Saccharomyces cerevisiae S288C: one gene and its partners. The protein of the gene in region 3 interacts with the protein of the main gene of each other region in a biochemical or structural test. Each region holds a gene or a part of one and is shown on either strand. Other genes may lie near its edges.

The links.
Region 1: of the proteins of HMT1 (region 3) and NSR1, one has a biochemical effect on the other in vitro, tested with the Saccharomyces cerevisiae proteins (2 studies listed by BioGRID).
Region 2: of the proteins of HMT1 (region 3) and PRP43, one has a biochemical effect on the other in vitro, tested with the Saccharomyces cerevisiae proteins (one study listed by BioGRID).
Region 4: of the proteins of HMT1 (region 3) and SBP1, one has a biochemical effect on the other in vitro, tested with the Saccharomyces cerevisiae proteins (3 studies listed by BioGRID, with this or other methods).

What each region holds. Positions count from the first base shown.
Region 1 is NC_001139.9:805,685-813,509, forward strand, and holds NSR1 (Nsr1p), read right to left. Parts: upstream 1,973-7,825; coding exon 728-1,972; downstream 1-727. Other genes in the region: exosome non-catalytic core subunit MTR3, read right to left, coding at 1-337; RTS3 (Rts3p), read right to left, coding at 2,945-3,736; YGR161W-C (uncharacterized protein), read left to right, coding at 4,543-4,821; YGR161W-A (gag protein), read left to right, coding at 6,054-7,370. UniProt on the Saccharomyces cerevisiae protein: Involved in pre-rRNA processing. Specifically binds nuclear localization sequences. Candidate for a receptor at the nucleus that may be involved in both RNA and protein transport. Binds telomeric sequences of the type (TG[1-3])n in vitro.
Region 2 is NC_001139.9:280,056-289,173, forward strand, and holds PRP43 (DEAH-box ATP-dependent RNA helicase PRP43), read right to left. Parts: upstream 3,883-9,118; coding exon 1,579-3,882; downstream 1-1,578. Other genes in the region: mRNA-binding protein NAB2, read right to left, coding at 1-468; GPG1 (Gpg1p), read right to left, coding at 722-1,102; protein kinase COQ8, read left to right, coding at 4,387-5,892; YGL118C (uncharacterized protein), read right to left, coding at 7,959-8,396; ARO5 (Aro5p), read left to right, coding at 8,457-9,118. UniProt on the Saccharomyces cerevisiae protein: Pre-mRNA processing factor involved in disassembly of spliceosomes after the release of mature mRNA.
Region 3 is NC_001134.8:302,781-310,873, forward strand, and holds HMT1 (protein-arginine omega-N methyltransferase HMT1), read right to left. Parts: upstream 3,197-8,093; coding exon 2,150-3,196; downstream 1-2,149. Other genes in the region: EDS1 (Eds1p), read left to right, coding at 1-1,923; pyridoxamine-phosphate oxidase PDX3, read right to left, coding at 3,489-4,175; CSG2 (mannosylinositol phosphorylceramide synthase regulatory subunit), read right to left, coding at 6,301-7,533; Cu-binding protein SCO1, read right to left, coding at 7,785-8,093. UniProt on the Saccharomyces cerevisiae protein: S-adenosyl-L-methionine-dependent protein-arginine N-methyltransferase that catalyzes both the mono- and asymmetric (type I) dimethylation of the guanidino nitrogens of arginine residues in a variety of RNA-binding proteins such as heterogeneous nuclear ribonucleoproteins (hnRNPs) and small nuclear ribonucleoproteins (snRNPs).
Region 4 is NC_001140.6:28,527-36,291, reverse strand, and holds SBP1 (Sbp1p), read left to right. Parts: upstream 1-2,214; coding exon 2,215-3,099; downstream 3,100-7,765. Other genes in the region: 60S ribosomal protein eL8 RPL8A, read left to right, coding at 267-1,037; putative ATP-binding cassette multidrug transporter VMR1, read left to right, coding at 3,536-7,765. UniProt on the Saccharomyces cerevisiae protein: Functions in the transition of mRNAs from translation to an mRNP complex destined for decapping. High-copy-number suppressor of decapping defects. Overexpression suppresses decapping defects in both DCP1-2 and DCP2-7 mutations.

The DNA of each region.
Region 1 (7,825 bases), on a different chromosome or scaffold from region 3:
CTTCCTTCAGTTCATTTGTGTTATATTTTTCCAGAAGACCGTTCTTTAACTGAATAGATATAGTACCTTGAGATGTGAAGGATCCTCTAATGGAGCGTGGTCCATAGACAGCGGTAATGAGCGATGTTTGGTGTCCTAAGCTTCTAGCTTCTACTAATGCAGATCCATTGCAGTTTTCGATGAAACCGGTATGTAGAGAAAGTTCCTGTTCACTTTCATTGCCTTTAGGTGTCAAATCTGTTGATTTCTTTTCTGGCACATGAGTAGTAGTGTTGCTAAACGCCATTGGCTTGGCAGCAGCAGGGCCTAATAACCTCCTTCTGTCTTGAACATTCATTTATTCTGATAACACCTTAATGTGAGTATGTTCCTACTTTTAAGTGGAGTATGTGCTAATCCTTAAAGGAAGTTTTCGTGGCTCAATCAAGCACAACGCCCAAGCTTTTATTTAGATATTCATTTCATATTACTGAAATTTTTTGAGTATTTTCCAAGGCCTTGTAATCTTCCGTATCTAGCGATCTCATCTCATCGTGAAAAAAAAAAGAGTAAGCCATTCGAAGAAAAGTTGGCAAATAGAGATGGTGAATGAAAGGTTTAAGAATGTATCCTATTTACTTACTAATGTACACAAAATATTATAGACCAAATTTTTCCTCAAAAATGGAATATAGTAATTAACGTAAAAAGAGAAAAAATTGAAATTGAAATTCATTTCATTTTCTCATTAATCAAATGTTTTCTTTGAACCAGCGAAAGAAGCGGTATTTCTTGATCTGCCCAATGGAGCAGTATTAGCACCAGAACCAGATGGTCTGAAACCGCCACGGCCACCGCGAGCGCCACCACGACCACCGAATCCACGGTTACCGCCACGACCACCGCCACGACCACCAAAACCACGGCTACCGCCACGACCACCATCGTTGTTTGGTCTTGGAGAAGAGAAGTCTAATCTAACTGGTCTGTTGTCAATGTATTCACCTTGTAAAGCGTCTAGAGCCTTCTTGGCGTCCTCCATGTTGGAGAATTGAACATAACCGAAACCTTTTGGTTGTTCAGTTTCTGGATGTGTTGGGATACGGACGGAAACAACTTCACCGTGTTTAGCGAATAATTCGAAAATAGCGTCTCTGTCAGCATTGAAAGATAAGTTACCCAAGAACAAAGTGTCAGATGGTTCAGATGGGGTATCACCGAATTTCTTGGCACGATCGTTGTTACCAGCTGGCTTGCTTGTGGACATATCACAGTTGATTGGTCTACCATCAATTTCCTTACCTTGCATTTCTTGAATGGCCTTTTCAGCATAAGATTTGTTTTCAAAATCAACGTAACCATAACCACGAGATCTATCGGTACCTCTTTCATAAATAACTCTGGCACCAATGACACCACCGATGTGTTCGAATTCCTTCTTCAACCATTCGTCATCAATAGACCACGATAGTCTACCAACGAAAATAGTAGCTGGTTCTTCGGTTTCTTCATTTTTTTGCTTCTTGTTGGAAGACTCTTCGTCTTCTTCTTCTTCGGCGTCCTCAGATTTACGTTTCTTATCGTTAGACTCTTCCTTTTCGCTTTCGCTATCAGAAGATGAAGATGAGGATGAATCAGAGCTAGAAGATTCTTTTGATTCTTCCTTCTTGGTTTCTTCTTTTTCTTCTTCTTCTTCTTCGTCGGAAGAAGAGTCAGAGGAAGAGGAAGAGGAATCCTTGGATTCTTCCTTCTTGGTTTCAGCTTCACTTTCGCTGTCAGAAGACGATGAAGAAGAGGATTCAGAATCAGAGGATGAAGATGAAGATGAAGATTCAGATTCAGACTCAGACTCAGATTCAGATTCAGATGAAGATGAAGATGAGGATGAAGATTCGGAGGAAGAGGAAGAGACGGCCTTAGCTTTTTCTTCTTTGGCTTGTTTGGAAGCCTTAACTTCCTTCTTGTTACCTTTTACTTTAGTAGTCTTAGCCATCTTATTTTATCCTGCCTGGGTTGAGTGATCCGAAATTGGTTAACAGTTCGTCTTTGGGAAGCAAAAGTAAGAAAAATACTACGAAAGGAAATAACTTAAGGTACCAATGGATTGGGAAGTGCAGACAGCAACAGCTACACTTAAGTACTTTTAATATTGGATTGAAAATTTTCGTTCTTGCGATGAGCTGCCCTTGCAAATTTTTCACCAAAAAAAAAAAAAAAAAAAGAAATGGAGTGAAAAAAGAAACGAAAAAAAAGGGCATGGGGACCCATACATCAGGCACTTACCCCCAGGAAGGATTACGTCTTTAAATCAGAGGATCAAAGGGTAATTAACAACCACCAGTCGAATTGCTGTCGTCTTTCTTCAATTGCTTTATCCAAAAATCTGAATGGATGTAAGTATTGCCCAGTAAGTTTTCTTGGCAAAATAACCTATAGCGAAATAGACAATCAACGTGATGGGGTTTAAATAGCTAGCGGTAAGTAACCACTAGTAGAACGTAGCTCCATAGCGTGTAATTTGGCGGCAAAATATGTGAAGCAAGCATATTCGTTATTACTTAGCTGCCTGTGAAATCCTGTCTGTGCCTTCTCTTTGCCTTTACTTTGTATAAAAACATATCAACACTGTCTCTGCGTATGAGGCCGAGGTATTTAGAGCATAAGAAAAAATGTGAACAAAAATAGTGTCATCTCCAGTAAGGCTTAAATGTATATTGATTTTCTATATATATATATATATATATATATATTTATGAAATAAACCATATAATTATAAGTAGTAGCTTGGAAAAACGCCAAAGTTGTACTTAGAATGAGGTTTTAAAAAAAAATTATAAAAAAAAACCAAGCGAGAAGTCACGCTTATAACGCAAGTGCACGAACTGCATATGTGTTGGATTGCCAAAGATCAATAGGAAGAATATATTTAGAGAAACTCTGTTTTCTTATGTATCTCGCTTACAGCCTATTTCAATGAACCAGTTTGGAATCTCTTTGCCATGAGATCAGCCTTTAAAGAGTTTGAGCCATCGAGACTGTAATTGGAAGAACGCCTTCTCCTGTCATGAAGAAGAGCACCGGATTCGGTTAAATCGCTAGACGAAATGCCGCTTAGAGAACGTGGAAGAAGAGTGTGATGTGGAAGATCGGCGGAGGGAAGGTTTCTGTTTGTTGTTGGTGCTGAGTGGATTTTAGTCTCAATGGGGAAAATCGTGTCTGAGATGCTTGTTCCGTTAGATATGGAAGCGTTCCGGCTTGACCTTCTGGCGGAATGGGAAATGTGGGTCATGGAGTCCTTGGGTGTTAAGGGAAGTACGGTGTGTCTGGATGCACCATCTGTGAGCTTTAGCTTTGGAGTGTCGAGGGTGTAACCATAATTGCAGTCATCATCATCTAGGATGGCAGACTCGCCTTCGAAAAATGGAGACGACCTTCTAGCCGGGACCGGATGGTGCAGTTGATTTTTTAACCTAGAGTTTTCTTCTTTTAAAGTTTCAATTTCCCGTAGAAGTCTTACTACAATAGCGTCTTGCTCCTTTTCCATTTCGTTTATTATTTCTTCCCTCGAAAGCCTTCTCTGTGCTGACATTGGTGACGAAGAAGGAGACGACGACGTCGAAAGTCTGCGAGGATCACGTGCTACAGCTGGTCTCATGGCTCTTGTAACTGAAGTTTGTCTCTCTCTGCATGGTTTGGCAACAGCCTTCTTGTGTTTTGATTCTTTATTCATGTTTACGGCTCTGGAGGTAGCGATCATTATACTTTATCTTCTATTAATGCTATGATTGATGAATTATACGTATGTATGTATCTGTAAGAAAATAGCCGAATGATTGATTATCTTTTCTTATATATGATTCAAGGGAACGAAAAGAAGACAAGATAATGTTAGGCAAGATAGTTTTTTAGACGACTGAGGCCGAAGATAAGCTTTATATATATGCAAGTCTATTTTTGTACGGGCGAAACCATCTAAGCCAACGATAACAATAGCCAGCTATGATCGTTGAGTACAGCGTGGGGCAATTTTTAGCGTGATTGATAAGGGCGCATTATCTCATCATCCATCGCCAATTTGGGACTCTAACGGCAAACCTCGGATTTCCGTGGAAACGCATGGAAAAATTGATCCGGGCTGTGAGGGGAGTCGAGTCAGTCACTTTTTGGCAACTCTCTCCGTCATGACCACTACTCCGCGGTAGCTGCCAAATTTGGTATTTCCAGGTTGTTTTTTGTGGACAGCCCGCGATCATATGTAAGAGCAGGATGTGTCATCCGCGGGTGAGGTAAACGCTGGCTTGCCATTATGGTTTTTTGGTACGTGTTGAACACGTTGCTTACGATCTTGGTAGGGGCGGGCTGTGATGTGAGAGCCACAAACCCGCTTCCTCGTTGTGGCTCTGGCGCTCCGTTTCTTCTTTCCCCCGCCTTGTAATATGTCGTGCATGCGTCCATGATGATATCGTATTTATTGTATATTGTGGTGATTTCGGCATATTTTAGCACATCTGTAGTATACCACAGAGCTAAAACAACCGATTATAGTCAACATTATACAGCATTATGTCTGGATACTTCAACCATCTTTCTTCGAATGCACATTTCGCAAATATTCAAGCCGATCAGGGCTTCATAGGTGATGCTACTGGCACAAGCAGCGATCATGGCAGTAGTGGCATGGTTGATTTTGCCCTACAACTCGGAGAACTGAGCCTAGAAGAGAAAATACTTAAAGAGTTCACCTTATTCCAGAGCAAGAACATGGACTTATTGCAAGAGACGGCGACGGCGTGTCCGAGTACTAATCCTTCCTTGAGACAGAGCCGAATTCAAGGCTGGTGAACGCCTGATGCGAGCTATACGTTTTGTGCTCACCGTGCACATATGGTGGCTACTTTTCTACTCAAACACGTTTGAAAAACGGCATACGATTAGCTTACAGATTGAACTCAAAGAAGTCGCAATGGGAGGTGCAGAAGATGACGTGTTACTTAGTTTATAATACAATGTGTTTTATATATCGATTCTTCGTTTATGCATTTCTGGACGATTGCTTTTCACTGTAAATACGCACTAATATTCATGAATATAAAAAAATGTAACATCATATCTCAATGTTCTTCTCCGTCAGTCAGATAGTGGCAAGGCTGTGATAGGACATTCTTAGAACGCCAAGAAAATCAAAAATTTGAACGGTATCTAAATTCATTTGTCGAACCCTTGAAGAAACTCACAGAGCGGGGTATCTACTATTTTGTTTTCGTTCTTTTGAATCTCCGCTACGTCACATTTTCTACAACCCTCAGGTCCCCTCACCACGAAAATCCAAGATTTGTAAAATATGAGCCGCGTATTTCTGCAATGGTAGAAACGATAATGTACCTATCGTACAACGATACATTATTTTAGTGCATTATAAGCCGCTTGATTCATGTTGATAATTAGCGGCTAAATTGTAGTAGTCATTCAAAATAATCGTACACCTTCATATAGTTATGAAAGGGGTATAAAAGATGAACGCTCGTTGGCCATGTCAAAGGTGCCTTAAAAATAACAATGCTTGCGGTAGTACGTGTGCAAAGTGTATATTCGCATGAGAGGTGATCGGAAATTGCTTTATCGCCCCACTAATTCTGATTCTTATTCAAATATTTATGTCACGTAGCGAGCTTACTTATCCATATATCAAAGGAAATCCAGATATAAACTCAAACTAATTCTTCTGTTTCCACGTAACTAGCATTCACATTGTAGTTTTCTAGATTACAGCAATTTATATATATTGTTGGAATAAAAATCAACTATCATCTACTAACTAGTATTTACGTTACTAGTATATTATCATATACGGTGTTAGAAGATGACGCAAATGATGAGAAATAGTCATCTAAATTAGTGGAAGCTGAAACGCAAGGATTGATAATGTAATAGGATCAATGAATATTAACATATAAAATGATGATAATAATATTTATAGAATTGTGTAGAATTGCAGATTCCCTTTTATGGATTCCTAAATCCTCGAGGAGAACTTCTAGTATATCTACATACCTAATATTATTGCCTTATCAAAAATGGAATCCCAACAATTACATCAAAATCCACATTCTCTACATGGTAGCGCCTATGCTTCGGTTACTTCTAAGGAAGTCCCATCAAATCAAGATCCGTTAGCCGTTTCAGCTTCCAATTTACCGGAATTTGATAGAGATTCCACTAAGGTTAATTCTCAACAAGAGACAACACCTGGGACATCAGCTGTTCCAGAGAACCATCATCATGTCTCTCCTCAACCTGCTTCAGTACCACCTCCACAGAATGGACAGTACCAACAGCACGGCATGATGACCCCAAACAAAGCTATGGCCTCTAACTGGGCACATTACCAACAACCGTCTATGATGACGTGTTCACATTATCAAACGTCACCTGCGTATTATCAACCGGACCCACACTATCCGTTGCCACAGTATATCCCACCACTGAGTACTTCCTCACCTGATCCAATCGATTCACAGAATCAACACTCTGAAGTACCTCAAGCTGAGACAAAGGTGAGAAATAACGTCTTACCACCACACACTTTAACATCAGAAGAAAACTTTTCTACATGGGTTAAATTTTACATCAGATTTTTGAAGAACTCTAATCTCGGTGACATCATTCCAAATGACCAGGGTGAAATCAAAAGTCAAATGACTTATGAAGAACATGCGTATATATACAATACCTTCCAAGCATTTGCCCCATTTCATTTATTGCCAACATGGGTAAAACAAATTTTAGAAATTAATTATGCTGACATCCTTACAGTCCTTTGTAAAAGTGTGTCCAAAATGCAAACTAACAATCAAGAATTAAAGGATTGGATAGCTCTTGCCAACCTTGAGTACGACGGAAGTACATCTGCTGATACATTTGAAATTACAGTCAGTACGATCATTCAGAGGCTAAAAGAAAACAATATCAATGTTAGCGACAGATTGGCCTGTCAACTAATACTTAAAGGTCTATCCGGTGACTTCAAATACCTACGTAATCAATATCGTACCAAAACGAACATGAAACTTTCCCAATTATTCGCTGAAATTCAGTTAATATATGACGAAAATAAAATCATGAATCTAAATAAACCGTCCCAATACAAACAACACAGCGAATACAAAAATGTTTCTCGCACATCTCCAAACACGACTAACACAAAGGTTACAACTCGTAATTATCATAGAACAAATAGTTCAAAACCAAGAGCAGCAAAAGCTCACAATATTGCTACATCTAGTAAATTCTCAAGGGTGAACAATGATCACATTAATGAATCAACCGTTTCATCACAATACTTAAGCGATGACAACGAACTTAGTCTTAGGCCAGCAACAGAAAGAATCTAAGCCAACACACACAATAGACTCGAATGACGAACTACCTGATCACCTTCTTATTGATTCAGGAGCTTCGCAAACGCTTGTCAGATCAGCCCATTATTTACACCATGCAACACCCAATTCTGAAATAAACATAGTCGATGCTCAAAAACAAGACATTCCTATAAATGCCATTGGTAATCTTCACTTCAACTTTCAGAACGGCACCAAAACATCAATAAAAGCACTACACACACCAAACATAGCCTATGATCTATTAAGTTTGAGTGAGCTGGCTAATCAAAATATTACTGCCTGCTTTACCAGAAACACTTTAGAAAGATCGGATGGTACAGTACTAGCTCCCATAGTCAAACATGGAGACTTTTACTGGTTATCTAAAAAATACCTAATTCCTTCGCACATTTCAAAGCTAACAATAAACAACGTCAACAAAAGCAAAAGCGTAAATAAATATCCAT
Region 2 (9,118 bases), on a different chromosome or scaffold from region 3:
AGGTTGCTGTTGAGGTTGCTGTTGAGGTTGCTGTTGAGGTTGCTGTTGAGGTTGCTGTTGAGGTTGCTGTTGAGGTTGCTGTTGAGGTTGCTGTTGAGGTTGCTGTTGCGCGATGTCTGGTTGCTGTTGTTGTTGTTGCTGTTGTTGCTGTTGTGCGATATCCGATTGTCCCAAGCTTTGCGCATTCATCATTCTAATTTTGGAAACAATATTTTCAGCACTTTCTCCCTGTTGCAGAGCTTCTAATGCGAAAAAGGCTGTTTGAACAACATTTGCAAGCGTATCTCTCGAAACACTATCAAACAAACTAGCCAGCTCGTCTACGACAGATTCAACAGTACCACCGTTAACGATCAATAAGACAATATACTCCGCAACATACTTGATATCTTCGTTAAAGTTTGGTATACCAGCCAGTTTTTCGGCAACGATAACCTTCAAGTTTTCTGTGTACTGTTCTTGAGACATTTCTGATGTACTTCCACTTCCTTATGATCAGAGATAATTAGAAACCACTATATTTAGATGTTTTATGGAAGTATTTGGAAGAAAGATGTGTAAAATTTTGTATTTTTCCCATTTGCCACCAGCGAAGCGAATATCACTATTTCCCCGCTTCGTATTTTGTGTAACGATGTACGAGAATACAACAATGTTTATATAATTGTATATGAATGTTCTCTTCACATTAAACTCTGTGTATAAGGTCGCGTTGAGCAAGCTAGTGATAGAACCTTCTCCTAGGATACATAGAAAGAGTGTCATCAGTTCTTGTTAGCTCTTCTTGTAACTGTGTGAACAAATCGTCGATGTCCCAGTCCAGTTCTGACATTTTCATTGAAAGCACATCCCTATATAAACGTCTCGCCTGGTTCCTTTTTTCTAGCAAAAGTGCTAACAAAGATGGCAGTGTTGTGGCAGTAACTTCCCTTGATTCAGGCTCAATTTTGTAATGAACCACACGATCGGTAAGTGTGTGCAACTCTCCGACAACGGTGACGAGGTTTTCTTGAGTATTGGAGAATAACAAAACTTCCCAGAAATTATAAGTTGGTTCAGCCCCAGCCGAGGCTTCTTCCTCGATGTCACTTAGATAAAACATGATTGCTACTTAAAAGATTTCTTATCTTCTCTGTAGTTCAAATTAGATAGTGGAAAATAAGTTTTCTTAATATACAGATATATGCGGTTTACCCCAAAACTACTTTGATGGGAAGCCAACATCCTCGTTGAAATTGAGTGATTAATTTCGTTGCAAGAGTAAGATGCTCGTTTTAAGCATCGTTAAAGGAGTAATTTACCTTTACGGTAATCTTTGCCATTTTTAAGGGAACTTCCTCACACCGCGGTTTGTTTCTTTATTTGTTCTTGTAAAAACACCTCGAAGGGAATATAGGATGTGCTCTATATAGACATACCCAACAAAAGAAAAAAGCTTCTTTTTGATACAGGGCGCTATGATTTTAGTACAAGCAGCTTTAGGTTACGTGTACCTATTTCTAGTTGAATTTTCTCTCTATGAAATAGTCCTATAAATTTATATAAATCTATTTTTTTTTTTTTTTCGACACAAAATGTCTATTTCTTGGAGTGCTTACTCTTCTTTTTGTTTTTACCTTGTTTCAACTCGTTTAATCTATCAACTTTTTCCTTGATCCTTTCCAAAGATAATTTGACATCACCTTTTTGGAAATTGCTTAAGTCGTAGTATGCAGGCGCTATTTCAATCAGCCATTCGGGCCTGACCGAGGTCACAGTTCTTATGTAGTTCTTCGATGTGAGCACAAATTCATTGTAAATGACCCATTCTGCGTCGTGGCCAAGAACCGTACTAGGATGGATCAGAACATCTTGGTTATCTTTAACTGTGATGTATCCTTTAGCTCCCGATCTTTTTTTTGCTACTTGCATGAAAAACCCAGACGCAAGAGCCTTTCTGATGTTGTCAAAGTATTTAGGGCTTTCATAGTCTGTAGTGTTTAATTCTAGGTTGTAACGGTTCATTAATCTTTCTAATTGGGAGCGGATATTATCAGCAGCGGAAAGGGACCTGTAATTTAGATAGTGGTCACGGCACCACTTATGGATACCATATTCATAAGCTTCATCCGATTTGAACGCATGATATACATTTAGTAAGGTGATATGATCACCGTCTGGATGAGCAAAGATATTCTTGGCATCATCTGCTCGCTTCTTGTCCTTTGTTGGGCGAATAAACACGTTTGGAACCGATAGCATGGCCACTATAGTTAGTATTTCTTGAGAACATTGGAACTCAAAGGACCCAATTAACATCACCGCTAGCATAGGATCCAAGGGAAACTGGGATGCCAATCTACCTAGGGGTGTTAAGTTACCTTCGTCGTCCAGACATGCCAAATAATTTAGTTCTTCAAGGGCTCTCATCATTGTTTCCGGAGCCGGTGGATCCATAAAATCGAAATGGACCAAGTCATCAATACCTAATTTTTTTAGTTCTAGAACGGTGGAGGATAAATTGGAACGTAAAATTTCTGGGTAACTTTGCTCTATCAGTTCCTTTTGGAATGCCTCTTCAGTGTATAATCTGAAACATTTACCAGGCCTTGTACGACCAGCACGACCAGCTCTTTGTTGGGCAGAAGCCTTGGAGATAGGGGAAACAAGTAAAGACTCAACTCTAATTCTTGGATTGTAAACTTTTTGCTTTGAAAATCCTGGGTCAACGACGTAGACAATACCATCAATTGTTAAAGAAGTTTCAGCGATGTTCGTGGAGATAACAACTTTCCTGCCTGGTCTACCATTATGTGACTCTGGAGCAGGCTCGAATATTCTTTGTTGTTGATGCGGTGGTAATGAACCATACAGTGGGTATACGGATAAAGGTCCGCATCCCTCTTCTCTAACCAATTGATCACCTTCTAAGGAAATCTTTCTGACAGCGTCTTCAATTTCATCTTCACCAGTTAAAAATAACAAAATATCGCCAGCCTCTTCAGTGGCATGAATTTGCAAAACAGTACGAATGGCAGAATCTAAATAGTCCCTTTGAAATTCCGGTGTATAGTATAGCTCAACTGGATATGTTCTGCCCGGAACGGCAAGTAATGGAGCATCGTTGAAGTAGCGTTGGAACTTCTCTGCATCCAGAGTAGCAGACATAATAATTATCTTCAAATCAGGTCTCCTCTTGACTACTTGCTTCAAAAGACCCATCAAAATATCAGTAGCTAGTGTACGTTCGTGCGCTTCATCCAGAATGATACATGAATAACGCGACAAGTCATGGTCTTCCATTGCCTCTCTCAACAACATACCATCAGTCATATACTTCAATATCGTTTTATTAGAAGTTTTATTTTCGAATCTGATAGAATAACCAACTTCTTCGCCCAACTTGACATCCATTTCCTCAGCAACTCTCTGTGCAACAGACATTGCTGCGACACGACGAGGTTGAGTACATGCAACTTGAGTGTTCTCTAAGTGTGGCATCTCATCGAATAAAACGAATTGAGGAATTTGTGTCGTTTTACCGGAACCTGTTTCACCAACAAAAACCATAATCTGGTTATTTTGATAAAGTTTTAAAAACTCATCTCTCTGGGCATGTACTGGCAATTCTCTTCTAATTTTCAGGATATCAACATATTTTGGTGTAAACTCCCTACCGGTAAATGGATTTATTTTTCCATCTTCAAGTTTTTGGGCCTCTTCTGCTGAAGTATGGTGACGTTGCAAGCCCTTGAATTCACCAGCATCATGATGGACAAGTGGCTCTTCGGATGGAAGAGGATGCTGTTTGGATAATTCTTCCGCAATCTCGGCGGCCTGCTCAGGAATAGAGGTCTCAACTGGATCCGGGTGTTCGGACGAGAATCTTCTTTTGGAACCCATTATTATTCTTGCAGTCCTAATCTTTCTATGCGCGTTTATAAGGTTATACTATCGTTACTCAATCGCATCCCCGTAAACGTGTTAAATATTACAATTGAATAAGTTTCTTTTCACCTCATCTCGCATTTGAAAATTTTTCAGAGGCACCGAAAAAAAAGAAAAAGAAATAAAAAAGGACTTGTGTATAAGATCGCTAGATCAATAAAAAGCAATCTGGTAGATTTATGGGACTCCGAAATGATACTGTCAGTTGAAACAGCAAACGAATACAGAGCGTAAAACTAAACGACCTTAGTTTGGAAAATGATGAAATTTGTCCATAACTATATACTATCAGTCAGCAAACTATGATCCGGGTAATATTCATTTGTAAAGCTTTAGATCTGTAATAGTACCCAGTACTTTTTTAGATGATCTTAATTAGTTAAGATCTTTCTGGTACTGTACTCAGTACGCTTCCTTGGCATCCTTATTGGGACCTGTTCGGCTAAGATATCGTTCGATATGGTTACAAATATGGTGAAATTGAGGAATTTAAGGAGATTGTATTGTTCATCCCGTCTCTTAAGAACTATACAGAACGGGAGAATTTCTTCTGTTTCTTCAATATCGTTGAGTAAGAAATATACTACAAAATCTGCCAAAGAAGGTGAAGAAAACGTAGAAAGGAAGCATGAGGAGGAAAAAAAGGATACATTAAAAAGTTCCAGTGTACCAACTTCACGAATATCGAGATTGTTCCATTATGGCTCACTGGCAGCAGGGGTGGGCATGAATGCCGCAGCAAAAGGCATATCGGAAGTTGCAAAGGGCAATTCTCCCACTTGGAAATCTTTGATTCTATCAGATTCGAATATTGACAGAATTACCAATAAATTTTCTAAAATGAGAGGTGTTGCCCTTAAAATAGGGCAACTATTGTCTTTTCAGGATGAGAAAGTGTTGCCAAAGGAATTATACGAAATTTTATCAAGGGTACAGAATAGTGCAAATCATATGCCTCAAAGGCAATTGGAAAAGGTTATGGCCAAGGAATTAGGTGCTAATTGGAAGACAAAGTTTTCCAAATTTGACAAGATACCTATGGCAGCTGCTAGTATCGGACAGGTACATGCGGCAGAGTTGCCCAGTGGTCAAAGAGTGGTTGTCAAAATTCAATATCCTGGGGTTAAAGAATCCATTGATTCGGATTTGAATAGTTTACTAATGTTACTTACAGCCTCAAGTTTATTACCGAAGGGATTATTTTTGGATAAGACAATTGCCAACGCTAGAACTGAGTTAAAATGGGAATGTGATTACAACAGAGAGGCTAGAGCTCTACAAAAGTTTGAGGCGTTGCTAAAGGATGACCCAGCGTTTGAGGTTCCTCATGTGTTTCCTGAATATACAACCGATAATATTATAACTATGACACGTATGGAGGGAACTGAAATAATGAAATTGCCCAAGGCATCACAAGAAACCAAAAATTTTATTTCGGAGAATATCATGAGACTATGTCTGGAAGAAATTGCCACTTTCAAGTATATGCAAACGGATCCTAATTGGGCAAATTTCCTCTATAACGGTAGGACAAAGAAAATTGAATTATTGGATTTCGGTGCCTCCAGACCTTTTGCAGAAGATTTTATTCTAAAATATAGAAAACTTTTAACTTACGCCACATTGAGAGATAGGAAAGGGGCGTACGAAATGTCTGTACAACTGGGCTATCTCACAGGCTTAGAATCGCAGTCCATGAAAGACGCGCACGTCGATAGTGTACTTACACTTGGTGAACCTTTTAGGGGTGATGTAGATAAATCTTTCGATTTCAAGGATCAAACAGTCTCAGACAGGATTAGAGGTAATATCGGGTTAATGTTGAATGAAAGACTATGTCCGCCACCAGAGGAAACATACTCGTTACATAGAAAATTTAGTGGCATTTTTCTTTTGTGTGCAAGAATGGGTGCGTCTGTTCATTGTGCAAAGCTTTTTAAAGAGATTTTTGCCTATAAAGTTTAAAATACTTCCCCGCTATTTGTATATATGCATATCTTTATATTATGAAAGATATTTTTTTATTTACTTTTAGTCCGTATACTTTTATTTTGTTTTGTTAGACAATCTCGAAGAACAAAAAAAAAAGATAAAACAGAAAGATAAATGTGCACTCTTTTGTACCTCGTTCTGCTATAGTACTTCCAACCAGATCGACTGAAAGATTACTAGTATATACGTCATGTTTTTAAATAGTAGTTCCCATTCTGCTTCAGTGAATTAGATATTTTTTTCCAATCATTCTCTTTAAACCCTCTGCGATAGTGATCCAACATTTTCTTAGCAACGCTAATCCTTCTGCCAATAGCTTCTCAAAATATACACCATTAACTTTACAACATTACATAATATGACATTCCACAGAACCTCTCTATTCCATTTTACCCCATTTCAAATTACTTTTTAGTCTTTGAATTGGGTCGCTTCCTAATTATAGAATTATTTTTCTCTGTAAAGTCCCAGCCTTGTTACAATACAATTGTACATCATTCATGAGAGATGAATATAATCTGCATTTCTTGTTCTAAATTGAATATGTATCTTTGAAAATACTCTGTATGCAGGCAACTTCTTTACCAATATTTACTTTATGAAACACGCCAGCTTTAAGACAATACCTTCGGGTCAGAAATATAGTTTAGTTTGTTAACTACAGCAGTTTCTTACAGAAAATTTTGAACTTCGACATTAGTGCATTTATCTCAGGATATAATGATCCCGTTATCCAATCGATATAGCTTCCTCAGGTTTCCATTCAGTCATAAATGTTAAATTAACGTTGTGCCTAGGGGGCAGATAAGCCTATGACATTGTTTCGTGCTCATCAAAACACTAATGTAATGGATGGCAACTGTTGCACCTATTCAGGCTGCAAAAAAAGAAGTATCATTTAAATCAAAAGGAATATGAACTGATATAAAAAGAACATATTCATACGGGCGAATTTGGCTAGTAACCATTACGAGATAGGATAGAATATACGTATGAGATTAGAATAATTAACATAAAATATGATAATATCGCTTTGCATTGCAATTAGCATACGTAACCTCACACAAATTTTATACTAATTGTCTAGGCATTTCATACAAGAATAACATTAGCGATCATTAGATCAGCTAAAGTTCTACATAAATGCTGCTGAACATAATAACATAGGTCCGCTTAGCAATATCAAGACATTATTACCGCTGTCAACATTTCTTGTCCGTCAGTGGACTTACAAGAATTGAACCGAAAAAAAAAAGAATAGAAAAGGTACAATAAAAAGCAATCGGTAAACGCGACAGCAGAGACGCCCCTGCACATTTAGTACACCGTTTCCTTCATTTAACCATCCTTAAATTATCACTTGCAGTATAAAAAATGAAACGGACAGGAATTGAACCTGCAACCCTTCGATTGCAATCTTATTCCGTGGAATTTCCAAGATTTAATTGGAGTCGAAAGCTCTACCATTGAGCCACCGCTTCATCTTGAAATATCCAAGAATTAAATTCTTACTTGTCTCCCCGAAAGCTGTATCTTTAAAACGGCTCCTAGTTATCGTCAGTTTTGATAATTAGTAACTAGAATATAGTATCACCAAGAACAGGCCAGGTAATATACTAGAAGTTGTGTATAACTACTAATATTTTTATACATATAGATGCCAAGTCAAGGTCCAATTAGTAGATTTTTCACTCTACCTTGCATTATTACCTGAAAGATCGTTTGTGTTTCCTTAAATTCGCCAGAGGTGCAAACGAATGTAAATATCTACATCAATTTACGGTTTCACGCCCGTTTCGTTTCTAATGGCAACTCATGTAAACTGTGATAAACCCGTTATTTCAGTTTTATTTTCTGCTAGTATAAAGGATGATAGTAGCCATTTCGCTGGAATATGTATCGGGTTTAAAAGATGGCATAGTTCGAAACATTTTCGCACAAGATTCTAACTGTCTTCGAACGTCGTAGAAACCGCAACGCAAGAAATGACAGCGCAATAAAATTTATTTTACTAACTGATAGAACAAATGTAAAAAATTTCATAATATCAAGTAGAATTCTTTATTCTCTTTGTGAATTCCTAAACCCATGAAAGGGACTTGTAGTATAAGCTGGATACCTATTTTCATTGGCTTCGTTTCCAAATGACACAAAACCATCACAAAAGGAAATAGTCCTTCCATAGTTACCCAATCATTCTGTTGCATATTAAATGAACAGCTCCTTGTTGATAATGCCAGTGTGGCATATTCACCGCTGCAGTTATTTCTTTTCATATATAATGAGTCATTTGTTTCTGTCATCACTTTTCTATACTTTCTCTTCCCCGCGTGTTTTCCGTACACCAACAATATATGCCATAATACACGTAACATTTTTTTATAAAAAGAAAAGGTAAGTGATATATATAAAATAGCGCCATGAGTAGGAAACTTTTCTGTTACTGCAGATATGTGCCAGACTGGCTCAGGTGGCATAAACACAGATTAATAGTATTGGCGTTGCTGAAATAAGAAGATCTGTAACAATATCTTACAATGCAGCCAATTTCAATAAAAGATGTGGAAAGCGATCAAGGGAAAGTTTACATTGTTAATGCCTTAAAAGATCTCGTATGCAAGTGCCTTTTAGAATTCGTGGACATTCAAATTGAAAGTTTTATGTATCCGGACGATCCAAAGTGTTTTACAAGGATATTTAAAGGGAACAAGATAGTCAACGAAGCATCAGATAAAGATTCGAAAGTGAGAAGTTACCCATCTTCATTGGGTGTTGGACACTCTGCTTTGTTTCCTTTGATATACATAAGACAAAAAACCAACTCCTTGCGGTTTTTGAATGATCCAAAGCAATTACCAACACCACTGGTCGATGATATGAACGCAAAATTCAAAGGCATCATTAAAGTTTATGAAAATCTCATTCACTTGTACCATTCATATCAGACGGTGGATTGCAATAACATGAATCAGCAAAAGCTTTTGGGTGATCTGGTCAGTCGGGGTAATTTCATGCTTGATATCCTCCACGGGTATGTTACTATTGCATCAACAATAGTACGGGACAGTAAGGATGCCAATATCTTGATAGACACTGTTAATCGGTTCATCCACGATACCATATTATTCCACAAGCGCATAATACATAATTCCAACGCTTACACAGAGTACCATGTAATGAAACGTGGCATGCAAAGAAA
Region 3 (8,093 bases):
ACTCCCAATAGTGTACGTTCCATTGAAAAGGAACGATTAAACTCGTTAACTGCGGGATTTCCGAACAAAAAATTAGGCACAGATGGTAGAAGTGACAAATGGGACAAAAATTCGACTTGGAAGCCTGTATATCGATCGTCGAATCCTTCTCATCCTAGCACTGAAAAAAATGTTTCCTTGAATCAGGAAGCCAGTGCTAAACCACTTATGCTTGGAACCTACAGACAGTTTGATGCAACCTCGTTCTACAAGGTTTTAGGCATCTACTATAACTTTTTCCATATTAATTTTCCTGTAATACCAATTAACAAAAGTAAATTTACTGACATGCTTGATCCTGAAAAGCCAAACGTGATTGATGAGATCAGACAAATTAACAATGAAATTATCCAGTGTTTTAAAACCGCGCTAGAGGTATTGGTATTTTGCAAAATAAAACAAAGAAGGTCATCGAAATCAACAAAATCATGGTCTCGTGACAGTTTATGCGATTTTCAAAAAGGTCTGTATTACATTCAGAATTTCAACAAATGTATAGCCGACTGCTTCCAAAGTTTAATAACTATAAAACCCGTATTAAAACAAAATTCCAGTGTTATTCCTTCAAGAATAAAGTTCATTTACTTTTCGACAATAATAGTGTTAAATTTTATCTTAATATTGGCCGGTGAGGAAAGCTCGCTTTTGCTAGGCCCCTCTGTTGGGGTTTTTAACGAATTTCAAGCTCATAAGTTATTTCTACCTTTTCAAAATACGTCCCCAATGCTATTATTAAATTCAAACGAGGAAAGTGGTGACGAGATACTGGATTATGCTGTGTTGTTCAAAAGGTTGTACATCCTTTTAAACATTCTGGATACGCTACAAAGCTTTCGGCTAGGTCAACCAAAATTAATTAATCTAAATTTTGGTAGCGCCATTGAAACATATTTTAGCGATAAAACAGGTCATAACCAAGTCGTCGAAAAAGCTCCCGTAGCTTTGGATAACATTCTACGAAACCTTAAACTTGGTGAATTTATAACATATTTTGTCCTTAACAGAAAATCATTGCAAGTAAATGTACCTCACCACTTGCTGTTCACAAATCAAACGGATTACGGAGAGTTCGCTGTTGAAAAAGGGGAACATGATAATATAGCTGGCAAATTTGAGACCCTTTTGAAGAAAAAGGAAATTTTAATCAGAAAATTACTAAATATTGAACAGAAAAATGACCATATTCTAGAAAATTGCTGCAATTCGGATGCTGAAATGAAAAATATCGGAGAGCTAGTCTGCTCAATGATCACTCTGGTATCAGGCATATTAGATTCAATTACTAATATGAACGCAGAAAACTCTGTTGATTTGGATTCAAAGCCCCTTCCGAACGCCTATTTTGCTCAGGACAGTGAAGAAGAATTAATGTCGCCAACACAAAGTATTACGTCAAATCTTGCCAGTGAAGAAAATACACGTTGCACAACCAAAGACTTGATGGGAACTGTTTCTATTTTCATGCTGCCAATGGTGGAAGAATGCTATAATATCATTAGTTTGATAGGACCCATACCTACCACATTAATAAGTTTATACATCCGTAATGGAAATATGGCCAAGGGAATAAATGACAGAATTATGACGTTGTCAACTGCGCTGAACGAATTGGTGCAAATAACCGCACTATTTAATACCCTAGAACCTTTTAGGAAGAATGCACATGACCGTGCTAAGCGTTACTATGTAAGTGCTACAAGTAGTACCGGATGCTACGAATCGGTAATGAAGAGCATGTATTCCGGAAAATGTGCAGCTAGTAACGCCTCAAACGTTGCGCCATCGGAGGAAGAAAACAAAAAGATATTGAAAAAGTTTGCCGACATAGGTTGGAAATTGATGGATGATTCAGAATTGGGTTGTTGCTGTTGCTTCTTTAACTAATATTCATGATAACAAGGTGAAAAATAGCATCCTAATGAAGGATAGATAAGTAGATTTTTTCTTTTAAAAACTATAGTACAAGGACATGCAAAGTCATATATCTAAACTAATTTTGGTACACGACCAACAAAAAAGGGTAACAAAGTACACATATTCGCGTCAATAATATGAACAAGTTTGTTTATTTGCTTTTCAAATTTTTTTCTTTCTCCAGCAAACAAAAGTCTTAATGCATTAAATAAGAACCTTCGTTTTTTCTGCTTCTTGAATTACCGTCGATGCCATTCGATTCGAACTTGTAAGAAATTTTGATATTTAGATCTCTGTTATTCTTCTCGTTTGGAGAGCAAACCAATTCACCTTCAATGGTGTCACCAGTTTCAGCATCTAGATCATCAGGGAAATAAAATATTGTTTGCTTCCAGTGAGTGTATGGAGCATGAGGACCAGTGGAGAACTCAACAGGTCTCTTACCCTTTGGTGCAGGGAAAACAATGTCGAACCAGGTGACTATACCATTAATCATATCTTGTCTCTTGGCCGTCAATTTAAAGTTACTCTTAAACGCTAGATCTGATATTTTTACTGTATTTAAATCAAATTCGATCAATTTGTCTGAGGTGGTGTTGACATTGTTTCTTTCCACGGTGTCGACGATGGGCTCGTGTAAGACCAACGGAACAAATGGCGAATAATCAAACCCGTAAACGTCTTGCCAGTAGTTCAACTTCTCGTCTTTATACTGAGAGTCTTCCAAACCGGCCAAATGAATGGAGCACTTGTCGGGAAAGATCAGACCGCCTTCTACCAAATAGTGGTCTCTAGCGTAAAGAACGGTGTCCATCATGGACTCGTATAGTAGAAAGTAACCCATCCATTCAGAAATTATGATGTCAACTTTAGGAAAGGGTAAATGAACGTCCTCCAACTTGCCTCTTAGCAAGGTGATCTTGTCGCTGAATCCGTTCAACTCTACCAATTCCTTCGCCATCTCAATAATGCTTGACATATCAACACCGATAACATGCTTCGCACCGTGTTTAGCGGCAAACATGGATAAAATACCGGTACCGCAACCGACGTCTAAAACAATCTTGTCCTTAAAAAGATCCTTATTTTGGATAATTGCGTTTCTGTAAGATAAGGTACGAACAGTATCTTGAAGCATCTCTTCGTGAATACCATAGTGATCGTACGAATTGAAGTAGTGCTGTTCGCTTTCACTTAGCTTGGTTTTTTCTGTAGCAGAATCTTTCACGGCTGTCTTGCTCATTATTTTCTTTGGATGAATTTGTCGGTTCTAACTCTTTTTTGGAAACGGCAAGGTGAGCAGTAGGCAGCTCATCTCTTCAACTATTTTTATAACATATAATTTCCCTTTGTGAAAAAATTTTCCCGCCATTTCCAAATTTCGGAATTCCTTTTTCTTTTTTTTCATCTCGGTATATTCTGACATATTACCCTATAGGCGGTATAAAAAGATTCATTATACAGTATAAAATAGAAAATGAGAGAATTATATGGTGTTAAATAGATCCTACATTGAATTTTTCATTAACAGTCCCTCATGGGGCTAGTCTAACGACTTTCCATGGATCGTTTTCTGTTTTTCTTCTGTAAACGAATCTATCATGCAATCTCGAGGGTCTACCTTGCCAGAACTCAATTTCCAGTGGAACGATTCTCAAGCCACCCCAATAATCTGGACATGGGATGTCTTCAGCATCCTTGAAACGTTCGGTGTTTTTTTGGGTCAACTCGTCTAGTTCTTCTCTGTTCTTGATAACATCCGATTGGCGGGAAGCCCATGCACCGATCTTGGATCCACGAGGTCTCGTCTTAAAGTATCTTTCAGAAGTTTCTCTGTTAACATGCTCTGTGATACCTTCAACTCTCACCTGCCTTTGCAGATCCTTCCAAAAGAATACGATTGCCGCATTCGGGTTGGTAGCAATATCATGAGCCTTTCTAGAGGTTCCCCAGTTAGAATAAATAGTAAAACCTCTATGGTCGAGCTCCTTAAAAAGAAGAATCCTGGACGACACCCTCCCACTAGGTAGTTCCGCGGATGAAAAAGTAATTGCTTCTGGCAACGTTTCCCTTGGGTCTTCCTTGGCTTCGTTGAACCATTTGGTGAAAAGATCGATTGGGTCGTCAGTAAGTTGTTTTTCATTCAAAGTAAATTTATCATATTGATACGTCTCAGGAGCAAATATGATTGGCTTTTGGGTCTCCTCAGCTTGTTTAGTCATTTTCAGTGCAGATCCGTGAAGTGTACTACTGGTCTAGGTAGAGTATCTTTAAAATATCTAATCATGCAAATTAGTCATTTCTTCTTTCTTATAAGTTGCGGCCCCTTCTAGTATTTACAATTTACCCGGCGCTGGTTCTGGTGGCATCTATAAGAGCTCTATCTGGCTGCTAAGCAGACTTGCTGTTACTTGTATGTGCTGTTTATCAAGATTGGGGCATTACGCATGTGTATGTGTGAACTACAGTAGTGTTATGAAATACAGCCTGAAAGACGAAAACTTCACAACGGAACTTAAGCGGTTCAATAAACATCTATCTGCCAGCTTAGAGAGACTACCCGTGGTAGAGAAAGACACGGGCAGCCAAAAATACTGGGTGTTGTATATTTACTTGTGTTAGTTTATAAATAAATTTTATATCACTATATGTGTGGTGAAAAGGAAGAGCAATCCTGCTAAAGCTTTTATATCTAAACGCCAAAAAAATAAAAAAAAAAGGAAATGGGAGAAAAGTTTTCAGCGCGCGAACTCGCGAAAAAACTTCCTCTTTAGCAATGGTGACATATAGATCTCAAGGTTCTCAATTAAAAGACCTTCTTTGTAGCTTTTAGTGTGATTTTTCTGGTTTGAGAATAAAACTAGAGAGGAAGATAGGTACCCTATGAAAATGTCAATGGCTGTTGCGTTTGCTTAATCGTATTTTTTTTTTTTTCAGTCCGTGTTTTTTGTACATTCTACGTTTGAGTTTTCCATCATGCAGGCCTCAGAAATTTGGTAGGCACTCGATGGTGAAGAGATAGTGTCGGATTTCGGATTGATCTTTCAGTTGATAGCCTGCTGCTCTTTTCTTTTCCAAAGAATTTCGAGTATGCTGGTGTCAGTGTAGATGCTTGTGTGTGCGCAATTTGTGGTTTTTTATTGTGTTTCTACTTATAGATGGCTAAAATCTGAGTTTAGAAAATGCAAACCGTAAATTCTTAAACACTGCTATTGCATTTAGTTGCTAAAGCAGTGTTTTTGAACTTATTCCTGTTATTCCTTCTTCGTACCGATCCTCTTCTCGACCTAACCTTTTAATTACCATGGGAAGCCTACCATCACCACACCCACACACAAATGTTACAGCTAATTGTTTATTAGCAAAGTTTGCACGAGTTCGCTGTTTATTTTTTTCTCGTTTTCTTATACCTAGTATTTTTTCTGACACTGTTTAAGGTGACAGAAAAAAAGGAGTTTAAGTTAGATTTGCAAACAGACGGTGCTAAGCGCTGTCACTTTATGTCTATCTTATCGTTAACTCTGGAAAAAGAAAAAGGAAAAAGAACGTCAGGGAACATGAGTATATATAGAAATGGTTTATTCTAGTTTTTTCCGTTTTTTCAGTAGATTTTTGCCTTTAAAAGAATAAATCCCACTACAAAAAGGTAAAATAAAAAATCTATTCACTGAACTTACTGATGAAATTTCCAAATGTGCCCCGTACATCGAACGATGTGACAGAGAAAAATACGAGTAGGTAAATAAGCCAAAAGGCAAGGGTGTCCTTTCTTAAGCATCGGTTAGGTTTGCGGGCGATCAGTAACTGAACAATGACACAAGATCAAGAACGTAATTTGAGATTTTTCAAGATGGTTTTTTTAGGTATCTATTAAAACTACTTTGATGATCAATACGGTATTTTTGTCGCATTATTTTCCAAGCGGAAGGAACCGTGTGTTCATTTTATGAATCTTGGTGTTGTATTCACAGCTACTTCTCCTAATGCCTTCGATGCATTTAGATAATTTTTGGAAACATTTTTTTTCTTGATGTATATTTTTTGTATTGTAGAAATCGCGCGTACTGTACTTGTATATCGCTTTATAAGCGCTTTTAATTGATTGTTCATGACGAGGATAGGCGGATAGGCGGAGGTATGCCTCTTAATATTTATAATAAAGCCCACCAAATGGCTTCTTCTTTTTAGAATATACAATATACAAATAAAAATAAAAAAATAGAAGAACATCCTAGTAATTGTCTTGAAAATAATCAAGATATTGATTGGGATTTTTTATTTAGGGAAACCAAATAATTGCATATGCTTGTTACATCATCATCAGTCATATAAAGTATGTTGTCCGTACTAATGGTGGTATTTACCTTCCCCGAGTGTTACTGATAGGACCAACAAACTTACCGTTAGCATTATGTATCCTATGACTTCCCATCTCACAATTGTGGTTTGCGTAGGTTCGCAAACCCACTCAGCTAACCCCATAAAGATAATAGCTCCCAGGTTGCACGTCGTCAAATACTCAGCAGGGGCCTTGCGATTCAACTCTAATATCGAAATCAAGCTCGGCAAGGAACCAAAGATAATCGAGCCTAGTAGAGAGAACCAAAAGCTCTTGTCATTATAGAACAACGAAATGGATTCCACAGACTCACGGGAGGGAAATTTAGGAATAAATGGCAAAAGTATTACCATGCCAATAATACCGATTAGGGCCATGTGGGTGCTCTGCTTAACCAAGACTACAGCAGAATTTTCGTTCTTGGAAATGTTACTGCAAAACCAACGGTTCCATAACACGGCAAAAGGACCCATAATCAAAGCACCAAGGCCGCAAATCAGAGCACCTTTCAACCTATCAAACAAGAATGGGTCAGAAAGTTCACCCGTGTTAGGGTTGACGGACAGCTTTCCGGCAAGCATGTCACAGGTAGCCTTCGTGTATGAGATGATCAAAATTCCAATGACCGCGTTCATCATGATGAGGAAATTACGGAAAACGTAGTTCTTCCTGGAGATTCCACAAACACCATATAGTAAAGTGACAATTTCGAAAATGGCAGTATTTTGCATCAAAGCAACATCAAATGCCGGTGACAATGACAAAGCCATGTTATAAGTCAAATCAGCGACAATCATTATGAGAGCCAGCACTGTTAGCTTAGCCACATATTTGAAGGTAGCCACGGATATGATTTTTTGCTTCTGCTGTTGGGCTGGAATCCGTGGTTGAGGATCATCCAACACGTGCGAGAACGTATCGACATCTTCGTTTGTCACAGACCCGCTGTTGTTGTTGTCAAACTGAGAATTCCTGTTCGAGTCTGAGTCAGAGACAAACATCGGTCTCATCTTCTCCCAAAGTCGAGATGCAGGCACCAAGAGCAGCCACGAAGCAAAATACATAAAGGTCAGATAGAAGGTTAATGAACTTGAGTTTCCGTTGTCGCCGTTAGTTTCAGGCGTTGCAATTGTACCATTGGGCCCCACGGAGATTTCCTTTTTAGATTGTATGTTAGACAAACATTTTGTTTGAATCACGTAGCCTATTACACTTGAAAACCAAAGTAGTGTGGTAGACATGACGCTGTATCTTTGTTTGTTATCGTGCTAACTCACCAGCTCAAGAGCGGATCTGTTCTGGAAGAAAATGGCCTACAAACATTTCTTTCACTTGATCTTCCCACGTTCACATAGCCTCCTTTAGAGTGAGAGAGCTTTTTTTTTTCTTGCGATACACCTTCGCCGGGTGATAGCCGATATTACAAGAACGGGTTATAGCGTTATAAGTATATATGTATATACAAGGAAGAAAGTAGCATATATTTACAATCTTATTTGAATAAGAAGGAGTACCATGCCTCCTTCTGCTTGGCGCGCTGCTCTGCAGGCACATAACTCTTAACGTGTTCCACGATCTTGTCCACGCCCGTTTTTTCATCATAATTTCTACCCAAAGCATCAACAAACTGTCCTTCAGGGTCCATGAGATAAAAGAAGATGGAATGGTCTACCAAATAATCTTGGCCCGGTTTGACGTTTGGAGGCGTAGAAAAGTATACTCTGTACTTCTTGCATGCGTTCTTCACCTCATCGAACGTCCCCGTCAAACCCAGGATGGAGGGATGAAAGTCGCTCAAATA
Region 4 (7,765 bases), on a different chromosome or scaffold from region 3:
CTGTAACACTAGTATTATGAAGAAAACACCCAAACATATCTAGGCCATCAGATTTTTTTTTTTTCATTTTTCATTTTTTTCTCATTTTCTTATTTATTTTTATTGAAAAATAATAACCGACGCAAACAAATTGGAAAAACCAACGCAAAAAAAAAAAGACGCTAAATTGTTTATAAAGGCGAGGAATTTGTATCTATCAATTACTATTCCAGTTGTCAGTTTACATTGCTTACCCTCTATTATCACATCAAAACAACTAATTCGAAATGGCCCCAGGTAAGAAAGTCGCTCCAGCTCCATTCGGTGCTAAGTCAACTAAGTCTAACAAGACTAGAAACCCATTGACTCACTCTACTCCAAAGAACTTCGGTATTGGTCAAGCTGTCCAACCAAAGAGAAACTTGTCCAGATACGTCAAATGGCCAGAATACGTCAGAGTGCAAAGACAAAAGAAGATCTTGTCCATCAGATTGAAGGTTCCTCCAACCATTGCTCAATTCCAATACACTTTGGACAGAAACACCGCTGCCGAAACCTTCAAGTTGTTCAACAAGTACAGACCAGAAACTGCTGCTGAAAAGAAGGAAAGATTGACCAAAGAAGCTGCCGCTGTTGCTGAAGGTAAGTCCAAGCAAGATGCTTCTCCAAAGCCATACGCTGTCAAGTACGGTTTGAACCACGTTGTTGCCTTGATCGAAAACAAGAAGGCTAAGTTGGTTTTGATTGCTAACGATGTCGACCCAATTGAATTGGTTGTCTTTTTGCCAGCTTTGTGTAAGAAGATGGGTGTTCCATACGCCATTGTCAAGGGTAAGGCTAGATTGGGTACCTTGGTTAACCAAAAGACCTCTGCCGTTGCCGCTTTGACTGAAGTCAGAGCCGAAGACGAAGCTGCTTTGGCTAAGTTGGTTTCTACCATTGACGCTAACTTCGCTGACAAATACGATGAAGTCAAGAAGCACTGGGGTGGTGGTATCCTTGGTAACAAGGCTCAAGCCAAGATGGACAAGAGAGCTAAGAACTCCGACTCCGCTTAAATTGAAAATGAGAAATTTTGCATAAAAAATTTATTTTTTAATAATAATATTAATTTTCAAACGTTTTAATATAATAATGACCTTAAATAACCTTTTAAGGTGATTGCTTTGTTGAAGCTTTGATACTTGGACCATGGGAAGTACCTCATTATAGGAAAATCATATCGACTTATTTTGAATATCACAATAATTTTGCATGCCTTAGTAGTTTTGGATTACCTAAGCTATGTTGATCGCATCCAAGATTATTAGGTCAGAAGGTCATTAACATCCAAAAGCGATATGATTGTGCCATTGAAGTGAGTGAAAGCCGTGGTTTCGAGACAAAGTTACAGAAGTAGTCACCGTTGTAAATAAGTATTGCCATATCGGATTGATGCTGGGAAGAAGTTCAAATTCATATTCTCACTTGCGCTACCCGTGCAGCTGGCAATCTTGAAGCCAGCGTCCAGTTAGTCTGATATGGCGTGTTTAACGATGTTTGAAACTCCACGATCATTGGTCGAGTCAAGAATAAATGTAATGTCATTTGAAATGTCGTCAGTAGACGTCCGTTACAGTTATGAAAGACTTCGAGGCCGCACACTAAGAGTCACCATGCTACTTCTGCAGGTGGCCGCGCTGTACACTTGCATTTTGTATGGGGAACTTTATATTTAAAATTAAGGCTAAGGCAATGTAGGCACTATCTAGGGATCTCAAATACATAAATTTCTCTGCAATTAAGTTATTAGATCTACAATTTACCAATTTTATCATCGAGCGGAAAATATTGAAAAGTATATACAATTTCTCCTAAAAAGGCCCTGCTCGTTTTGACCTGTACTAGTAACTATTTTGCAGCCAATTATGGTAGTGAAAATATGATAGTACACTATTTTTTGGGTCACTACTGCCGCTAAATATTTTAAAATTTGTATGAATTGCCTCTTTATTATCTTTAAATTCCCGTCCCAGGTGACGCGTCGCCAAAGGGAAGGGGCAAAACTAGTCGAAAAGCAGAATAAAATTTTTCTAATTTAGCCACCCTGAGTGTCACAGGTTGTGGCATAAAGGATACGCAATTGGACTCAAAATAATCATTCTGCAAATTTAAAGGAAGTTACTGAGTTATCACTACATCGAGAGAAGAAGTTTCCCCCAAAAGAAAGAAGAAAACCCTCAAACGAAGAAAAATATGTCTGCTGAAATTGAAGAAGCTACTAATGCCGTAAACAACTTGAGCATCAACGACTCCGAACAGCAACCAAGGGCTCCTACTCATAAGACAGTAATTGACCCCGAGGACACAATCTTTATTGGTAATGTTGCTCACGAATGTACCGAAGACGACTTGAAGCAATTGTTTGTGGAGGAATTCGGGGATGAAGTCAGCGTAGAGATCCCAATTAAGGAACACACCGACGGTCACATTCCAGCTAGTAAACACGCTCTAGTCAAGTTCCCAACCAAGATTGATTTTGATAATATCAAGGAGAATTATGACACGAAAGTCGTTAAGGACAGAGAAATTCATATTAAGAGAGCTAGAACTCCAGGCCAAATGCAAAGAGGAGGTTTCAGAGGCAGAGGCGGTTTCAGAGGCAGAGGAGGTTTTAGAGGAGGTTTCAGAGGCGGCTACAGAGGAGGTTTCAGAGGCAGAGGGAACTTCAGAGGTAGAGGCGGCGCCAGAGGTGGTTTCAATGGACAAAAAAGGGAAAAGATTCCATTAGACCAAATGGAAAGATCAAAGGATACCTTATATATTAATAACGTCCCATTCAAAGCTACCAAAGAGGAGGTCGCTGAATTTTTCGGTACTGACGCCGACTCCATCTCTTTGCCAATGAGAAAAATGAGAGACCAACACACTGGTAGGATCTTCACATCCGATTCTGCTAATAGAGGTATGGCATTTGTCACTTTCAGTGGTGAAAACGTTGATATTGAAGCTAAAGCTGAAGAATTTAAAGGCAAGGTTTTCGGTGACAGGGAGTTAACTGTAGATGTTGCTGTTATTAGACCAGAAAATGATGAAGAAGAAATTGAGCAAGAAACTGGTTCTGAAGAAAAGCAAGAATAATTACTTCTTACCCACATCCCTATTTCTAACTTGAGTTTTTGCTAGAGTTTTGTATTTTTGTTCACCTTCCCTGCAAAAGAAATATGTGTATTTATATATGCGTGTATACCTATATATGATATGTAAAAATGAGACGCCCCTGTTTTATTTTCAAACACTTCCCCGTATAGTTTTTTGCAATGACACTACTTTAACTTCTTCGACATGATTTGCTTTAGCACTACGAAGGATTGCATCATAACGTTTCGAAAGGGGTGCACTTTTAAAAACCAGTAAGTGAGTGCCTCGTGAACTGCTATTTTCGTATTTTGAAAAAAAAAATAAAAAAAAACTCCCTTATATATATATATAAATATCTATGTACTAAATGTCAAATCGCTAGCTCTCACCTATATCTTATTCATGCTGCAACCTCAATGGTTCACTACCTCGGAGAATGGGAACGGATCCCCTTATTATCCGAAATAATGGTTCATTTTGGGAAGTTGATGATTTTACTCGTTTAGGAAGAACTCAGCTATTGAGCTACTATTTACCATTGGCTATCATAGCCTCAATTGGCATTTTCGCACTTTGTCGCAGTGGATTATCTCGTTATGTAAGATCTGCCGAGTGCGATTTAGTGAACGAATATCTATTTGGCGCACAAGAAGAGAGAAAAGAAGATAATAGTATAGAAAGACTTCTACGGAACTCAAATACCCAAGCCAATTACGTCAACGTCAAAAAGCAAGGAAGGATTTTGAAACTTAGACATTTTGATATAACAACTATAGATGTCAAGCAAATCGATGCTAAAAATCATGGTGGACTAACGTTTAGTAGACCGTCTACTAGTGACCACTTAAGAAAATCATCTGAAATTGTATTAATGTCTTTACAAATAATTGGCCTTTCCTTTTTAAGAGTAACAAAAATCAATATTGAATTAACGAACAGAGATGTTACAACTTTACTATTATTTTGGTTAATACTACTTTCCCTAAGTATCTTAAGAGTTTACAAGCGTTCAACGAATCTTTGGGCCATCTGTTTTACTGCCCATACAACTATTTGGATTTCAACCTGGATTCCAATTCGTTCGGTCTATATTGGTAATATCGATGATGTACCCTCACAGATATTTTACATCTTTGAATTCGTAATTACTTCAACCTTACAGCCAATAAAGCTCACTTCACCGATTAAAGACAACTCATCCATCATCTACGTTAGAGACGACCATACGTCTCCTTCGAGGGAACACATATCCTCAATTTTAAGTTGCATTACTTGGAGCTGGATTACCAATTTTATATGGGAGGCCCAAAAGAACACTATTAAGTTAAAGGATATTTGGGGCTTATCAATGGAAGACTATAGCATTTTCATTCTAAAAGGGTTTACCAGGAGAAACAAGCACATTAATAATTTGACGCTAGCACTGTTTGAATCTTTCAAAACATATTTACTCATAGGAATGTTATGGGTTCTGGTGAACAGTATTGTAAACCTTCTTCCCACAATTTTAATGAAAAGATTTTTAGAAATTGTGGATAACCCAAACCGTTCCTCATCATGCATGAATTTGGCGTGGCTTTATATTATTGGTATGTTCATTTGTAGATTGACATTAGCAATTTGTAATTCCCAAGGTCAATTTGTTTCTGATAAGATTTGTTTAAGAATAAGAGCCATACTCATAGGAGAAATTTATGCAAAAGGCTTACGTAGGAGGCTGTTTACATCTCCAAAAACCAGCTCTGATTCAGATAGTATCTCCGCAAACCTTGGTACCATAATTAATCTCATTTCTATTGACTCATTTAAGGTATCGGAACTAGCAAACTACCTTTATGTGACAGTTCAGGCAGTAATTATGATAATAGTTGTTGTAGGACTACTTTTCAACTTTTTAGGTGTTTCAGCTTTTGCAGGAATTTCAATTATCTTAGTGATGTTCCCATTGAATTTCTTGTTAGCGAATTTGTTAGGTAAGTTTCAAAAGCAAACACTGAAATGTACTGACCAAAGAATCTCAAAATTGAACGAGTGCTTACAGAACATAAGAATTGTCAAATATTTTGCTTGGGAAAGGAATATTATAAATGAAATCAAATCAATAAGGCAAAAGGAATTAAGATCCTTATTAAAAAAATCTTTGGTGTGGTCCGTAACTTCTTTTCTTTGGTTCGTGACACCGACCTTGGTGACAGGTGTCACTTTCGCCATCTGTACATTTGTTCAACATGAAGATTTGAATGCCCCGCTTGCTTTCACTACTTTGTCACTCTTCACTTTGTTAAAGACACCCCTGGATCAATTATCAAATATGCTAAGTTTCATAAATCAATCAAAAGTCTCTCTAAAAAGAATAAGCGATTTTTTAAGGATGGACGATACAGAAAAATATAATCAACTAACCATATCTCCAGACAAAAATAAAATTGAATTTAAAAATGCGACTTTAACCTGGAATGAAAATGACAGCGATATGAATGCATTCAAATTATGTGGTTTGAATATTAAATTTCAAATTGGTAAGTTAAATTTGATTTTGGGTTCTACAGGATCTGGTAAAAGTGCATTGCTGCTGGGTTTACTGGGTGAACTAAATCTAATTAGTGGCTCTATCATTGTTCCGAGCTTAGAACCAAAGCATGATTTAATTCCCGACTGCGAAGGTTTAACCAATTCCTTCGCATATTGTTCACAAAGTGCGTGGCTATTAAATGACACGGTAAAAAACAATATTATCTTTGATAACTTCTATAACGAGGATAGGTACAACAAAGTAATTGATGCATGTGGGCTGAAAAGAGACCTGGAGATTTTACCAGCAGGTGACCTAACAGAAATTGGTGAAAAGGGTATAACTTTATCAGGAGGGCAGAAACAGAGAATTTCCTTGGCGAGAGCTGTTTATTCGAGTGCTAAGCATGTCTTACTAGATGATTGTTTGAGCGCTGTCGATTCACATACTGCTGTATGGATCTATGAAAATTGCATCACAGGTCCACTAATGAAAAATAGAACCTGCATTTTAGTTACGCACAATGTTTCATTAACACTTAGAAATGCCCATTTCGCGATTGTGTTGGAAAATGGCAAAGTGAAGAATCAAGGAACTATTACAGAATTACAAAGCAAAGGGCTTTTTAAGGAAAAATATGTTCAACTTTCTTCTCGAGATAGCATTAATGAAAAGAACGCTAATAGATTAAAAGCTCCCAGAAAAAATGACTCTCAGAAAATCGAACCTGTCACCGAGAACATAAATTTTGATGCAAATTTTGTCAATGATGGCCAGCTAATAGAAGAGGAAGAAAAATCAAACGGTGCCATAAGCCCCGATGTTTATAAATGGTACCTGAAATTTTTTGGAGGCTTCAAAGCTTTAACAGCCCTGTTCGCTCTTTATATCACAGCTCAAATTTTGTTCATCAGTCAGTCTTGGTGGATACGACATTGGGTCAACGATACCAATGTACGAATAAATGCTCCAGGTTTTGCGATGGACACGCTGCCATTAAAAGGGATGACCGACTCTTCGAAAAATAAACATAATGCATTTTATTACTTAACCGTATATTTTCTTATTGGTATCATTCAGGCAATGCTAGGTGGTTTTAAAACAATGATGACGTTTTTATCCGGTATGCGAGCCTCCAGAAAGATCTTTAATAATCTGCTAGATCTAGTTCTACATGCCCAAATACGATTTTTCGACGTGACGCCGGTTGGTAGAATCATGAATCGCTTTTCAAAGGACATCGAAGGTGTTGATCAAGAATTGATTCCATACTTAGAAGTAACTATATTTTGCCTAATTCAATGCGCATCAATTATATTTCTCATTACCGTAATAACTCCTCGCTTTTTGACAGTCGCCGTTATCGTTTTTGTTTTATATTTCTTTGTGGGGAAATGGTACTTAACGGCAAGTAGAGAATTGAAAAGGTTAGATTCAATAACCAAATCACCCATTTTTCAACATTTCTCAGAGACCTTGGTAGGCGTTTGCACAATTCGTGCATTTGGCGACGAGAGGAGATTCATTTTAGAAAATATGAACAAAATTGACCAAAATAACAGAGCATTCTTTTATTTATCAGTTACTGTCAAATGGTTTTCTTTTAGAGTCGACATGATTGGCGCATTCATTGTTTTAGCATCAGGTTCTTTTATTCTGCTCAATATTGCAAATATTGACTCGGGTCTTGCCGGCATTTCTTTGACATATGCCATTTTGTTTACAGATGGTGCTTTATGGTTAGTTAGACTGTACTCAACATTTGAAATGAACATGAACTCTGTTGAAAGACTAAAAGAATATTCTAGCATTGAACAAGAGAACTATCTTGGCCATGATGAAGGCCGCATTCTACTTCTAAACGAACCATCGTGGCCAAAAGATGGAGAAATTGAAATTGAAAACTTATCTTTACGTTACGCGCCAAATTTGCCTCCTGTCATAAGAAATGTTAGTTTCAAAGTGGATCCTCAAAGTAAGATTGGGATTGTCGGAAGAACTGGCGCAGGCAAATCTACCATAATAACGGCATTATTCAGATTACTAGAACCAATAACCGGATGTATCAAAATAGATGGGCAGGATATAAGTAAAATTGATCTCGTTACATTACGTCGTTCCATTACTATCATCCCTCAGGACCCTATTCTATTT